Linked DNA regions of Stegostoma tigrinum. The protein of the gene in region 2 interacts with the protein of the main gene of each other region in a pairwise test. Links are inferred from orthologs where the notes say so. Each region holds a gene or a part of one and is shown on either strand. Other genes may lie near its edges.

What was found.
Region 1: the proteins of RNA-binding protein FXR1-like (region 2) and paics interact in binary tests that used the Homo sapiens proteins (3 or more experiments, as listed by UniProt). The link is inferred for Stegostoma tigrinum from reciprocal best matches to the Homo sapiens genes FXR2 and PAICS.

What each region holds. Positions count from the first base shown.
Region 1 is NC_081354.1:109,761,660-109,769,038, reverse strand, and holds the start of paics (multifunctional protein ADE2), read right to left. Parts: upstream 3,035-7,379; 5' UTR 3,019-3,034; exon of another isoform or gene 2,881-3,018; intron 2,665-2,880; 5' UTR 2,550-2,664; exon of another isoform or gene 2,532-2,549; intron 2,276-2,531; 5' UTR 2,250-2,275; coding exon 2,234-2,249; intron 1,870-2,233; coding exon 1,672-1,869; intron 1,593-1,671; coding exon 1,414-1,592; intron 1-1,413. Other genes in the region: ppat (amidophosphoribosyltransferase), read left to right, coding at 3,050-3,177. UniProt on the Homo sapiens protein: Bifunctional phosphoribosylaminoimidazole carboxylase and phosphoribosylaminoimidazole succinocarboxamide synthetase catalyzing two reactions of the de novo purine biosynthetic pathway.
Region 2 is NC_081398.1:2,575,748-2,583,469, forward strand, and holds the start of RNA-binding protein FXR1-like, read right to left. Parts: upstream 3,091-7,722; 5' UTR 2,950-3,090; coding exon 2,899-2,949; intron 1-2,898. UniProt on the Homo sapiens protein: mRNA-binding protein that acts as a regulator of mRNAs translation and/or stability, and which is required for adult hippocampal neurogenesis. Specifically binds to AU-rich elements (AREs) in the 3'-UTR of target mRNAs.

The sequences.
Region 1 (7,379 bases), on a different chromosome or scaffold from region 2:
GAATGGCATTAAACATTTTGGAAAGTTTGCACATTTGATTTTGTGATGGAGGGAAGGTCACTGCTGGGAGTAACCAAAGATGGTTAGGGCTGGGACACCAGAGGAAACAACTTCTGCAGTGAAGTCTTTAAACTCACACAACCCCAACCATCCTCCTTTGTGCTAGATATGTCTCCCATATCAAAAGATGCTAATCTTCAGCCATTAGAAGGCAGCTGAGGCTTCCCCATCATTGAGAATGGGGACATTTAGGGAGCTTGTTAGTCATTTAACTGCTCAGAATCATTTGAGGGGGGAATTGGCAGGAATGCTAGCTGACACTTGATCAGTTTGTTGCAAAGAAAAAGCTGTTTACTCCAGTCTGCTTCATATGCAACTAGCCTTGTGTTGCAGCTCCAGATTAAAAATCTTTTTCTTTCATAAGGACACGCACGCACACACCACTGAGCCAGGTTGAATGAAAATGGTAGGATACAGGTACATTGTGGTCATGAGGTTACAGACTGTATTCCACCACAATTCTCCTGATGGGCTCACGTGTGCTCAGTATGAAGTTGCCCAAGTGTTCCAAGTTCCCTTTTAGGGTTCTAAAAGGAAAGGTCACCAGCTCTGAAACATTAACTTTGCTGTTTTCTTCAGATGCTGCCTGACTCTCAGCTTTTCCAGCACCTTCTGTTTTTGTTCCTTTTAGCACACAGTGTTGGTATCATACAACATGTTGGACAGTATCCTCAAACACGATGACAGGACTTTGTCTCAGATGACATTTTGATGTCACTCAAAAATACCATTATGGATTGATACATGACAAAATTAACATTTAATGAGGAAGTTAAAAATAGTTTTCTTCCCCTTCATTGGTTCATTAAGCTGCAGACTTGCCAATCTTGCCCTTGAATATGACAGCTCCCAACCAAAATACATTTTCTGCCCTTACCACCCTCATTAGTTCTTTCAAAGTGTTCAAAATTGAGGAACACAGACTGAGCCAGGGGCTCCACAATGCTGGTCATCCTAACATTTTCCAAATCAGTGTTTGTCCAGATGCCATGAGACTTCAAGTTCACTGCCAATATTCAGATTCCAAAAAGGCAACTCTCTTTCTCTTCTTCACCGCACCGCTCCCCCCCCCCCCCCCCAACTCTGCATCATTGTGCAACCACCTGAAGAGTTTGTCATGTTAGTGGACAGGATGAAGCCCAAAGCGGTGGTTCTTGACCCACTGTATGTAATATGGCAGACAGAGTTTTGACACAAGACCCCAGCTGAAAAAGTACAGAAGCTGAAATGATTAGTGATTTCAAAGGGATATTAAAGATGGATGGAAAAGCAAAGTTTTGTTTACACAACTAGAAAATGGTTATTAACACCTCAACCACATCAAAACTAATAGCAGCAAACATGTTACACTACCTTAAAGAACATCTCCATCTTTGGAGGACAGAACTTGTATCCTTCCTTTACACCAGGATTTCTTTTCAGAAAAGAGCCTGTGGCAATTCTTCTACAAACCCACTCAATAGGAATCATTTCACAGTTTGCTGCCACAAATGCTGTTTCCCCATATTGTTTCTCAAACGCAGTTTTGATGCCTTAAAAAGAAAAAAGCATGAACACAAATATTACAGAAGATGCACATATCCTGCCCGATGTCAGTAGCAGAAGTCTTACCAGCATCCTGCAGCAGTTTGAAGATAGAAACAGTGGTTTTAGTAGATATCGCAGCCTTGCCCACCATCTGGTCTTTCCTGACTGCATTTCCAGCCGTAATCTGGTCCTTGGACTGAATCAGAACTTGCCCGGGACAATCCAACAGTTCGTATACTTCCTTGGTTTTTCCTTCATTTAGTTTTTTTCCAATTTTCAGCTCTTCGGAAAATAAAAGGATTATTTAAAACGTGAAATCATTCACTTTTAAAGCCACTGAACATTTTTAAATTGTTGACTGGTTTAAAACCAGAAAAAAAAGCAATTTTTTAAAAGAAAAAAAATCACAAGGCTGAATGTCATAACATGTTACTGAGGTTCAACAAAAGAAATTCATCTCGGAAGCACTGACAGATGAATAGCAACAATACAATTCCAACCGAGGGTGTACTGGTCGTTTTCTTTCATGCGGTACAGTTTCGAAACTGTCTCTTTGCGAGATTTTAGCACCGTAAATACTGTGGTAGAGCCGTCAAGTAAAAGCGGTCGCGGTTAATCCAAGAGGGAGCTTGGAAATTTTACTTACCTCCAAACTTCTCCATCTTGGGAAAACTTTGCAAATCTACAACTTTAAAACAAAAAAAGTATTTAAATTCTTTAAAGAAGAAAAACATAACACACAACAGGCCGCAATGTGCTTTCCACGGAATGCACGCCAAGCCTCCCTCTCCACCAACCCCGGGGTACACCTCAATGATGCCTTTCCCCAGCGAGAGTTTGCCCACCCTCCACAGATACCCCACTTCCTCCTCTACCCCGCACACGTCCGCTACTGTCTCCATATTTCGCTACCCCGAGGACCTCATAGCTATGTACCCACACACCAGGCCAGAATCTCCTACCGTAGGCCCCTCTCACGATCTCGTGCTTCTAACAGCCGCGCGTTCGGTTTTAGAACGTTCCGAAATTTGAATGAGATGTACCAAGACGAGAGGGATAAGGGGGGTGGTGAAGAGTCTGCAATGAAAGGAACACGTTTGCATAAAGAAGGGACGGCGTATATATATAAATATATATGTATGTATTATACATATTACAAATTGATCATCAGTTTCTAACGTTCACATATGATAAGTTCTAAAAACAACGAAAAATTATTTACATGCATTTATCTAATTAATTTGCACACCCTCAACGTTTTGGAGAGGTCCGTGACATGTGGGGGTGGTGGCGGGTTTAGTGAGGCACGTGTTGACTCCTGGGAGCTAGGGAGAAAAAGAATACGAGCTAGATAATGAGGAGCGGGGAGTGAGTGTATTACTTTGAAATAGTTAGCCTGGTAGTGGGTGGGCTGGGGTTTTGTTCACTCACTTTTCGTTGGGGTAGTTAGTGTGGAACTGGCATGGAGTTTGAAGAATCGGGGATCCGGGAGGAGTGTGGCGTGTTTGGCTGTGTCGCTGCTGGCGAGTGGCCGACTCACTTGGACGTGCCCCACGTTATCGCCCTCGGATTGGTGGCACTGCAGCACAGGTAACACAGATAGCAGGATTTCGTGCTACAGCCGAGGCAGAACAGATTTCATACACAAATACAGAAACATTATGATAACTGAAGTTCTGCTGCAGTTGTTGGTTCTGCTATTACTTATAGTAGAACGTAGAGTAGTTTCATCTTAGTCTAGGGTAATAGGTCGGCACAACATCGTGGGCTATCGTGGGCATTGTTCTATGTTCTTATGGGCGCGGAAGGCACTAAACTGGGCAGAGAAAAGTGCTGTATTGACTTAATATTTTCTAAGCACATTGTTTAACAATGCAGAAATGCTGTAAGGAGGTAGAGATTTAAAAATGATACTGGAAACCTTTTAGTAGTTTCCCTTAAAACCCTAACACTATCACAGCTTCTGTGGAGTTCTGTGTCTGCCATCCAAAACCTTACTTTATGATACTATTTATGTTGAATTTTTTTAAAAATTGTTTATTCTCCAGGGGAAAATAAAGCTCTCCCAACAAATTAGTATAATTACTCTCGAATGGAAATGTTTAGCCAAAGTACTCAAACTGAAGTGACAAATTTCATCAATCTTTACATATTTGTCAGTACGTTCGTTTTATTCAGTTTTGAGTCCTAAAAAAACATATTCAGGAGTTACTTATCTGTATTGTGTGAAGTTGTATGAAAAAGAAGTGAATGAAATGTCGATGACAAGTTATTAGAGTTCTGTATTTGGATGAGATGTGTATTTTTAACTAATTTTTGTAATTCTCCAGAATAATGTTCTTACCAAATAAAAAGTGAAAAAAAAACAAAAACAAGTTGCTGGAAACTATCAGCAGGTCTGGCACCATCTGTTGAGACATCTGATCATTTCTGACCATATCTTCTGCTGAAATCCCCTAACCATTCCAGAACTACAGAATGTATAGCTCCTAAGTTCATTCAGCCCAACTGGTTACTGCATTCTAGTCTTAATGTTGCTTACAAACTCCCTCCTATGTCCCCACAACTAGTTCTAACCCTTTCAATATATCACAAACTTATATTTAAGTTAAATTGATCCTTACTGTTTTCATCAATTACTTTAGTAAATTCCATACTCCTGACCACTCCCAGGTTTCTGCTGCCTTTCTATGTAATTCTGTTCTGAAAATAAGCTGACTAGAATATGTGTCTTAACAGGCACAGATTTGATCAAGTTGGCATTGTGCAGAATCTTAAATATCCAAACTGCATGAACAATTCAAAAAATGGTCCTCGCACAAATTACTTTTAATTGCCTAATGCAAGAAATTCATTTTCTAGCTGTCTTTGAAAACTCAAATGTAGCATACCACTAATTAAAATAACTTATTTAAATCCGATGTTGATTTTTATTTTACTTTTTTCTAAGCTCACTGTAAAATCACTGGGCATTTGGAAGGCTATCAATGTCAATGCAGTTGTGACAAATGTTGGCTAGCAATTATGCTTGGCCTGTGTTCCAGAGTGCATCACATGTAATATATGCTACAGAAGGTACACTGTTTTAAAATTTATTGATAGAATAAAACAACACTGACTCCCATCTGATGCTTAGTTTACAATATATGGGATACTTATTAAAAGGCTCCTTTGCAAGGTTCCTCTAGTAAACACTTTACACATTATATGCAATAGAAAAGCAGTATCATCAGCAGTAAGGACTTTGTTAACTTAAAAATTTGGGAAAGAGACTTTTTATTTATTGATTTATGGGATCTGTGCATCACTGGCTCTGCCAGCACTTTTTGCCCAACCCTAACTGCCCTTGAACTGTTTGGCTTGCTAGCCAATTTCACCGAACACTTAAAAGTTATGGCTATGGAGTCTCGTGTAAGCTAGAATGGGTGATGATGGCAGATTCCCATCTCTAAAGGATGCTAATGAGTCAGATGGGTATTTATGACAAACAATGATTGTTACATAATTGCAATTAGACTAATTTTTGATTTTTGTAATCAAATTTGAATTTTGGCACCTGCCACGGTGGAATTCAAATGCATAGTCTCAGAACCTGAGTCTAGTGACTCTGGATTGCTAGTCCAGTTACATATATTACGTGGCCATTATCAACCTGGATAAAATGGTTGGAGTATTATATGGGATCCTTGGGGAATCAACACCTGGAAAGGATTTTTTTATAAAAATCAAAAGATCTGCAGATGCTATAAATCGGAGACAAAAATAAAAACCGCCGGAAAACCTCAGCAGGTTTGGCAGCATCTGTGGAGAGAAATCAGTTAATGTTTTGGGTCGAGTGACCCTTCCTCAGATGGATTCTTTATGTTTAGCTAATTATAATTTTGAAACATCCATGGTGCCATTCTCTTTCCTGAAATCCATTTGAAAGCTTTAAAAACTTCTGAAAAACAGCTATAATCTCAAGAACATTTATAAAACATTTTGGTTCAGAGAACTGAAAAAGCAGCTTCAAACACAGAGTCTTCAGTTATATTGGGCAATTGGAACTTCACTTGCTTTCAACTCATATGTTTCACTAATGAGTTTAATTTTGCCTGGTAATCCTATGATGGAGATATTTTAAGTTCAGAAATCCTGATGAATTACAATTCATTTCACATTACCATTTAATAATGATTTGACTTACTTGCGGTGATCAGGTTACTTGCAGGTAACCAAATGTTCCTACATTCAATTTGATGTGGGCTAGTAGGTTGGGGTTATGTGTTACAGTTTAATAATTTTAATTTTCTGCCACTCTTTGAGGGAATTAGGTTTGCCCCTTATATGCCTACATGTTGACTGGGTTACTTTGGAAGGATGTGTTGTCGACGTAGGAAAACTGATTTAGATTTTTAAAAATCATACAAACATATGTTAATTGAATGCAGCTTTAAGAGCAATGATTTACTTAATAATGATAATAAAGTGTGAAGCTGGATGAACACAGCAGGCCAAGCAGCATCTCAGGAGCACAAAAACTGACGTTTCGGGCCTCGACCCGTCATCAGAGAGAGGATCTCTCTGATGACGGGTCGAGGTCCGAAACGTCAGCTTTTGTGCTCCTGAGATGCTGCTTGGCTTGCTGTGTTCATCCAGCTTCACACTTTGTTATCTTGGATTCTCCAGCATCTGCAGTTCGCATTATCACATTTATTTAATAATGCCAGTTTTTAAAAACTCCAATATGTGCATTCTGAAAACAGCTTGTTGGAACTTTTTTCTATAAATTCATAACTCAGGATGTGGAATTGGTGTATAAAATCAGAATCTCCAAGATTTTTTAAAATCTAATTTATACTGTACATCTGTAAACTAGATGTTGTGTCTAGTGTGAATTTATAACATCACACCATTTAGAGGAGCAGTATTCCCAAAGGGGTGTGCTTTTGAGGTGCAATACCAATTTAACTGTTAAACTTTTTATAATCAAGTATCCACTAAATTAAAAAAAATTAAAAGCGACAAGGTGTGAGTAAAACATCAAAAAGCCATAAAGCTGTAATTTTTTTTCAGCACTGTCGTTAGAAACAAGTAAGTCCAGCAAATTAAGTTATTCAAATATTTTCTTCCTCATGCTTTTGGCAGGAACTATCCTTCAATTTTAGAAAATGATTACAGATTTTTTTCCATGACTGCTGGAGCATCATTTGGAACCAATTTGAGAATTAGCTTAGTGGAACACTCTCCTTTGAGGCAGTGGCTGTGAGCTGAAGCACCACTCTGTAGAACAGGTTTGAACAGACAATCAAGGCTGATATTTCATCACTGCATTGAGGGTACAGTATGAAGTATTATCTTGTGTTATCATTCCTATGGGGTATTGAACTTACAGCTGGATGAGAAGTGGAGGGGGGAGCTGGCTCACATCTGTTCACCCTTCTCATAACCACAACAGAGATATTGGTTCTCTTTACTGCCAGGTTAAAACTTTCTCCAATAAAGTTGCATTTAATTACTTTTTACTTTATGCAGTAAGGAGAAAATCAGAAGATTTTCTTGAGTTAAAGGAAGAAAATGTATTACTTCCAAAACCGGAGAAGAACAGCAATGGCAAGGCCTTAAGTACTTGGCCTGTGTGCAGTCAATTGGACACTCCCACCGTAGAAAGCCAAATGGGATGCTGTCAAGTACAAAGAAAGATGGAAGAATATGTCATTTAGAGTCCATTGGTTGGCTTTGAGCTATAAGGTTTAAACCTCAAGCTGAGGTTGGTTATCTTTTGATACATCAGAAATAATAATATTGTGTTT
Region 2 (7,722 bases):
TAAGGAGCTCATTTCCTTTAGTTCAACAAATTCCCACTTTTATCCTTGTGTAGAGCTACCTTTTCCTGAGCTACCCTCATGCTTCTATGTATAAAATACCTTGGGATTCTCCTTAGTCCCATTTGCCAAAGACATTTCCCTTGGTCTATGCTAGCCCTCCTAGTATCTTTTCTAAGATTTTCTGCCTCCTTTATTCTCAAGGGCTTGTCGGATTTGTTTCCTCAGCCTTACATATACTTCTTTTTCTCTTTCGACTAACTTCAATGGCTTGTCGTGCAACATCTCAGGATCATGCCATCCTATCTTTCATCCCGACAGGAACATTCCAAGTTGATCAGATGTGTGTCAGATATGAACTTACCCTCAAACAGCCACTCCAATCTAATTTTTCCAGTTCCTACTCAATCACGTTGCAATTAGCCTCCATCAACTGCACAAACAAGAGCAAAGAATTCCTCAGTACAGTCTGAGGACCAACCACCTTCAATTGCTTCAACAACCTTCCACAAATCCCAAGATGAGATATGGGGGTATTTGCTGACGATTGCACAATGTTCAACACCATTCACAGCTCCTCAGATGCTGAAACAGTCCATGCGCAAATGCAGCAAGAGCTGGACAATATCCAAACTCCGGCTGACAAGTGTCAAATAACATTCACACCACACATACCAAGCAATCACTATCTCAAAACAAAAGCAAATCTCACTTTCCTTTGAAGTGTAATGGCATTGCCATTGCCAAATCCCTCATAATGCACTGGGGGTTACCACTGACCAGAAATTGAACACTAGCACCAAACGGTGGCTACAAGAGCAAGTCAAGGCTGCGCGTCTTGGAAGTAAATTACCTCCGAATCTCCAAAGCCTATCCACTATCTTCTAAAGGCACAAGACTCTATGGAGGGTGATGGAATACTTCCCACTTACTAGATGGGTGCAGCAACAACAATACAAGCTTGACAGCATCCAGGACAAAGCACCTGCTTGATTGACACCACATCCACACCCTCCACCACCAATGCATAATAGTGTACTATCCACCAAAGCTCCTTAGTACGGTTATAGGTTGTCTATCAAGGATGAGGGAAGCCAGACAGAAGGAAACACCCCACTTCAAGCTTCACACCATCCTGGCTCGGAAATATATTGTATTCTTGCAGTGCAGCTGGGTCAGAATTCCTGGTTACCCTTACAGCACTATGTATTCCTGTACCTCAGACTGCTGCAACTCAAGATGACAGATCTGTAACAACTAGGGGTCAAACTTTTAAGACATTGAAGAGGAGAAACCCAGTGTTGTATGATATTGTAAGTCTGCCCGAGGTGGTGGCAAGGTCACTAAAATATCTTTGAGACAGATTCTTGTTAGGTGGGAGAATCAAGCATTATCAAAGTACATGGAATGTGGAATCTGAAAAAGGCAGATGAGTCATGATCTTATTGACAAGATCAAAGAAGGCTCAAAGCACCAAATAGCCACCTCCTGCTTGCAACATTTGTAAGATCCATCAATCTCCGAACATTACAGATGCCAGACTTCAGTTCATTCAATTCACACATGGTATCAAGAAATATCTGAACGCACTGGACTCAGTAAAGATTAGAGGGCTTGACTTCCATCTGCAATACTAAAGTACAGAACTGGTAGAACCTCTAGCCAAGCTGTGCTAGAGCAACAGTAACTTTAATCAGGTAGGTGTCAAAAAGCACCCAGTATATCCTATCTCGAAAACAAACAGGACAAAGCCAACCCAACCATTCCAGTCTCCCGATTCCCAAATCCGCACCACAAGATACAGAATACTCCCACTTTCATGGATGGTGCAGATCCAACACAAAGCTTCATATAATTCAGGGCCACCTGATTGGTCCGGGGTGGTGGGATGGGTGAAGGGGAGAGGAGGAGGGAGATTGCTCCTGGGGGGGGGGGGGGGGGGGGGGGAAAGAGGGAGGAGAGAGGAGAATGGGGGTGGTGAAGGACAGAGATCGGTCCTGGGGACGGGGGTGAAGGAGAGAAATTGGTCCGGGGTTTGGGGGGGGGGGGGGGGGGTTGGTGGGGTGCAGGAGGAATATTGGTCCGGAGGGGCAGTGGGGGGGTGGGTGGGGGTGATGAGGTGGAGTAGGGAGATTGGTCCGGGGAGGGGGGGGGGGGGGGAAGAGAGAGAGAGAAATTGGTCCGGGGGGGGGGGGGGGAGAAATTGGTCCGGGGGGGGAGAAATTGGTCCGGGGGGGGGGGGGGGAGAAATTGGTCCGGGGGGGGGGGGGGGGGGGAGAAATTGGTCCGGGGGGGGGGGGGGGAGAAATTGGTCCGGGGGGGGGGGGAGGGGGAGGGGGAGAAATTGGTCCGGGGGGGGGGGGAGAGGGGGAGAAATTGGTCCGGGGGGGGGGGGGGAGAGGGGGAGAGAAGGGTGAAGGAGGGAGTTCAGAATTGGGGTGGGTGGGGGGGCGGGGAGGAGAAAGAGAAAAGAGAGGGGGGCTGGGGGTGGTGAAGGAGGGAGATCGGTCCGGGGGGGTGGGGGGTGTGTGTGGGGTGGGTGTGAAGGAGTCAGATTGCTGGAAGGGGAAGGGCTGTGATGGGGGGGGGGGGGGGTGGGAAAGAGAGGGAGATGGAGGCAGATTTTGGGGGTGGTGGGGAAGTAAGGAAGGAAGAAGAGGGAAGGGGTGGGAAGGGGTGAAGAGTGAAGGGATAGAGAGGGGTGGGGGGGCGCGGACAGAGGCTAAGGGCACATTGGTTCTCGTCCCCCATTCGGCCACCCCCCCCTCCCCCCTTTCCGGCCTGAAGGCGACAGGCTCATCTTGGGCCCGGCCCTCAGACACTAGGCCGCAGCCTGCGTCTGGAGTTGGCTCGCTCTCTCTCTCGGCGCTGGGGCTCCGATCCGCCGGCCGCTCCCCTCACCTTGTAAAAAGCGCCGTTCGAGCCGCGCACTTCCACGGCCAGCCCGTCCATGGTGCTGCCCACCTTCCTTCCAGCCAGCCGGCCGGGCTCGGGAAGGGGGTTGGGAGCGGGGGGAGCAATCACCGACGGGACGGCGACGGACGAGGGAGGAAAAAAAAAACCCTCCCGGCCGCTCGGCTCCGGTTATTAAAAAAAACCGCCCCGCCCCCCACAACACCACCTCGCGCAACCCCGCCCGCCCGTCGCTCATTGGTCGCCCACCGGCCCAATCCCTCACCAACGTGCGCTTTCCGTCACGCCCATTGGCCACAGTGCACCTTCCATCATGCGCTGTCTCCACTTCCATTGCTCGCTGCGCCCATCGATCAAACGCGAACCCCCGCCCACTCCAGATAACGGCTCACCGATTGGACGATACGCTCGCCCCCGCTCACCCATTGGCCGCTGGTAGGATTCCTGGAAAGTCCGTTGGTGCGGACCGAACAGGGTGGATGTTTGTTCCTGAGTGAGGGAGGCGCGCGACAACCGCCAGATCCGCCTCCTCTCGACGCTGACTGGATGGCGGCCGTCACCTGCGGCGACTCCGTGCCATTTTCTACACTCTGAATGGGCTGCCGCGCTGTCAATCACGGTTAACGGTTCCCGTCGCGCGGAGCCGCCGCCCATGGCCATTCCCGATTGGACTGTCTGCCCGACATTCAAACTGATTGACCCACCCTGTCACTTTACGATTGGACACAGGGCCAAGCCAAAAGCCAATAGCCAATCCGCCACCATACGTCTGTATATCGGGCTGCGATTGGTCTGTCAGCACGTCATTCTCCCTCCCCCACTTCCCGCAGTTAACCGGATTTATGAATGGCACCGTCTGATCTGGAGCGGGTCTATTTAATTTTCTTTGCTCTTCGGAGATCGGCTTCGCCTGCAGTACACACTCATGGGTTCCGCAGTTACCGGGGGCCGCCTCAGCGATTGGTCGCAACGATTTGGCCCGTCGCTTCCATGCCCTCCGCTACCTGAGCAACTTGGCTTGAGCTACTCTCCCACCTTTATTCTGCAAATCCTCCCTCTTCGGATAGTTATCCGGTTCCTGCCTCTCAGGCTGTGACATTCCAGATCCCAACTGCAGTTCACTACTACAGATAATAAAATGTGAGGCTGGATGAACACAGCAGGCCCAGCAGCATCTCAGGAGCACAAAAGCTGACGTTTCAGGCCTAGACCCTTCATCAGAGAGGGGGATGGGGAGAGGGAACTGGAATAAATAGGGAGAGAGGGGGAGGCGGACCGAAGATGGAGAGTAAAGAAGATAGGTGGAGAGAGTGTAGGTGGGGAGGTAGGGAGGGGATAGGTCAGTCCAGGGAAGACGGACAGGTCAAGGAGGTGGGATGAGGTTAGTAGGTAGCTGGGGGTGCGGCTTGGGGTGGGAGGAAGGGATGGGTGAGAGGAAGAACCGGTTAGGGAGGCAGAGACAGGTTGGACTGGTTTTGGGATGCAGTGGGTGGGGGGGAAGAGCTGGGCTGGTTTTGGGATGCAGTGGGGGGAGGGGACGAACTGGGCTGGTTTTGGGATGCGGTGGGGGAAGGGGAGATTTTGAAGCTGGTGAAGTCCACATTGATACCATTGGGCTGCAGGGTTCCCAAGCGGAATATGAGTTGCTGTTCCTGCAACCTTCGGGTGGCATCATTGTGGCAGTGCAGGAGGCCCATGATGGACATGTCATCTAAAGAATGGGAGGGGGAGTGGAAATGGTTCGCGACTGGGAGGTGCAGTTGTTTGTTGCGAACCGAGCGGAGGTGTTCTGCAAAGCGGTCCCCAAGCCTCCGCTTGGTTTTCCCCAATGTAGAGGATGCCACACCGGGTTCACTACTATCCATCTGCCCTGTCTTAACTCAGCCTAGCCTACATGTGACTCCAGGCTCACTTTAATGTGGTTGACTCTTTCGTCCAAGGGACGGGCAATGAATGTTGGCCTCCACGGCTGTGCCCAAATCCTCTAAATGAGTTTTCCTCATTTCACCTCCGATTCTGCCACTAATCTTGAAAGGCTTCAGAAAATATACACAAGCATGTTGCTGGAACTGGAGGGCTTGAGCTACAAGGAGAGGGTGAATAGACTGTTTTCCCTGGAGATAACAAGGTGTGGAGCTGGATGAACACAGCAGGCCAATCAGCATCTTAGGAGCACAAAAGCTGACATTTCGGGCCTAGACCCTTCATCAGAAAAGGGGGATGGGGAGTGACGGAAGACGAACGGTCAGTCCTCAGCAAGGGGCTCACCTTTGTCCCCCTTCACCCACACATCAACGAATACCAGTCACGTCTAGACATTGAGCAGTTTTTCTTCTCCTCTATCCATCTTCGGTCTGCCTCCCCCTCTCTCCCTATTTATTTTAGAATCCTCTCCCCATCCCCCTCTCTGATGAAGGGTCCAGGTTCAAAACTTCAGCTTTTGTGCTCCTAAGATGCTGCTTGGCCTGCTGTGTTCATCCAGCCTCACATTTCATTATCTTGGATTGTCTAGCATCTGCAGTTCCCATTATCTCTGATCACTATTTTCCCTGGAGCATTGGAGGCTGAGGGGTAACCTTGCAGAGGTTTATAAAATCATGAGCGGCATAGCTTAGGTGACTAGCCAAGGGTTTTTCCCCCAGGGGGAAGAATCCAAAACTAGAGGGCCAGAGATTTAAAGTGAGAGGGGAAAGTGTAAAAAAGGGTGGTGCATGTATGGTGCCAGAGGAAGTGATGCAGGGTGTTACAATTACAGTATTTAAAAATCATCTGGATGGGATTTACGAATAAGAAGAGGTTAGAAGGATTTGGGTCAAATGCTGATGAATGGGACTAGATTTATATAGAGATATAGCAAGAACTGCAGATGTTAGAGTCAGATAACAAAGTGCGAAGCTGAAGGAACACAGCAGGCCAGGCAGCATCAGAGCAGCTGGAAAGCTAACTTTTTGGCTCCTGCTATGTTCCTCCAGCTCCGCACTTTGTTATCTCTGGATTAATTTGGGATGTTTGGTCAGCATGGACGGGGTGGACTGTACAGTCTGTTTCCATGCTATACAGCTTTATGACTCTAATCACCTTGCATCGGTGCTTCCTATCTCTCTGCCCAAAGAAAAATATTTTTTCTCTCATGGATAACAAAGTGTGAAGCTGGATGAACACAGCAGGCCAAGCAGCATCCTAACCCTAACCCTAACCCTATTTTTTCTCTCAGTCCAGTTGGCTTATCTCGAGAGCCATGCAAAGCAGGAGGGAGAGAGAGATTGTAGCCAAGGATAGGGTACCACCAATTGGTCTGGTGCAGCAGCCATCGAAAGCAATACCAAATTTCATCTCATTTGTATCAGAAGCAGCAAGACAAGAACTTATTTCAAAATCAACCCTGACCTTCCTCCTCCTCCTCTGGGATCAATACATTCTGAAACAATGGACAATGAGATTACATCAAATTCTATTTTTTTTAAATCAACAAAATCAAATTGTAAAGTCTAGTGGAAGATGCGCAAAATAAGGCTTCATTTGGATTGGTAAGTTAGTCCAAATACTGAGGTGTGGGAAATTTATCAGGTTCCCAAGAACTTCAACTGAGCAAGAAAGTGCTTTTACTGGACGTATTCAGTTTCTGTTTCTGTTTCTTTTGATTCCCTCAGTTTGTAAAACTGAAACCAAGTCCAGAGAAGGATGGTAGGTAACCATCAGCTCAAGTCCCACACAGTCACCTCCAAAGCCAGGATTTCCAGCGATTAAGGACTTCCAACAGTGCCCGCTCCCTCAGCGCTGACCCTCCGACAGTGCGGTGCTCCCTCAGCGCTGACCCTCCGACAGTGCGGTGCTCCCTCAGCGCTGACCCTCCGACAGTGCGGTGCTCCCTCAGCACTGACCCTCCAACAGTGCCCACTCCCTCAGCGCTGACCCTCCGACAGTGCGGTGCTCCCTCAGCACTGACCCTCCAACAGTGCCCACTCCCTCAGCGCTGACTCTCCGACAGTGCCCGCTCCCACAGCACTGACCCTCCGACAGTGCCCACACCCTCAGCACTGACCCTCTGACAGTGCCCACTCCCTCAGCACTGACCCTCTGACAGTGCCCACTCCCTCAGCACTGACCCTCCGACAGTGCCCACTCCCTCAGCACTGACCCTCTGACAGTGCCCACTCCCTCAGCACTGACCCTCTGACAGTGCCCACTCCCTCAGCACTGACCCTCCGACAGTGCGATGCTCACTCAGTGCTGTCCCTTGGACAGTAATGTAAAAGCTGACCACTCTAGTCAGTCATCACTTACCAATGGGGCAATTATGGTTAATTCCTCCTAAATAAGGGAAAAATATACAAATAACCATTGATTAAAATATTGATGGCTCAAAAAAACTCCCAACTTGTTTTCCAGTTGAAACACTCCTGAGAATTTTTTAAAAAATTAATCACATTTAAACTCGCAGGGTGATTATTGGCTTTCAGTTTCATTTCCCAAGTCATCCACTCAAAACCAGAACTTCTCTTCAGCTGGCTTGTCAAAAGTGTTTGTATCTCATGTTTACAGCGACAAACACATCCGGTCCTCTGGGTTCGGCCAGCAGGAAAAGTCAGCAAAATCTTGGGGTACCATGTTGCACCTGAACGAACCACACAGAGCCAGGAATCAATTCCCCTGCCCCACTGCCTCCCCTCTCTTGGACAAAACCACTCCCATCTCAGTCTATCCCTCCCTACCCACCTCCTCTGTAGCTTCTATCACAAGCTGCTCAGCCGTGGGTGTCTGCAAGATGTTTCTTGCCTCTCCCTGGAGGGTCAGAACCAAAATGTGAGACAC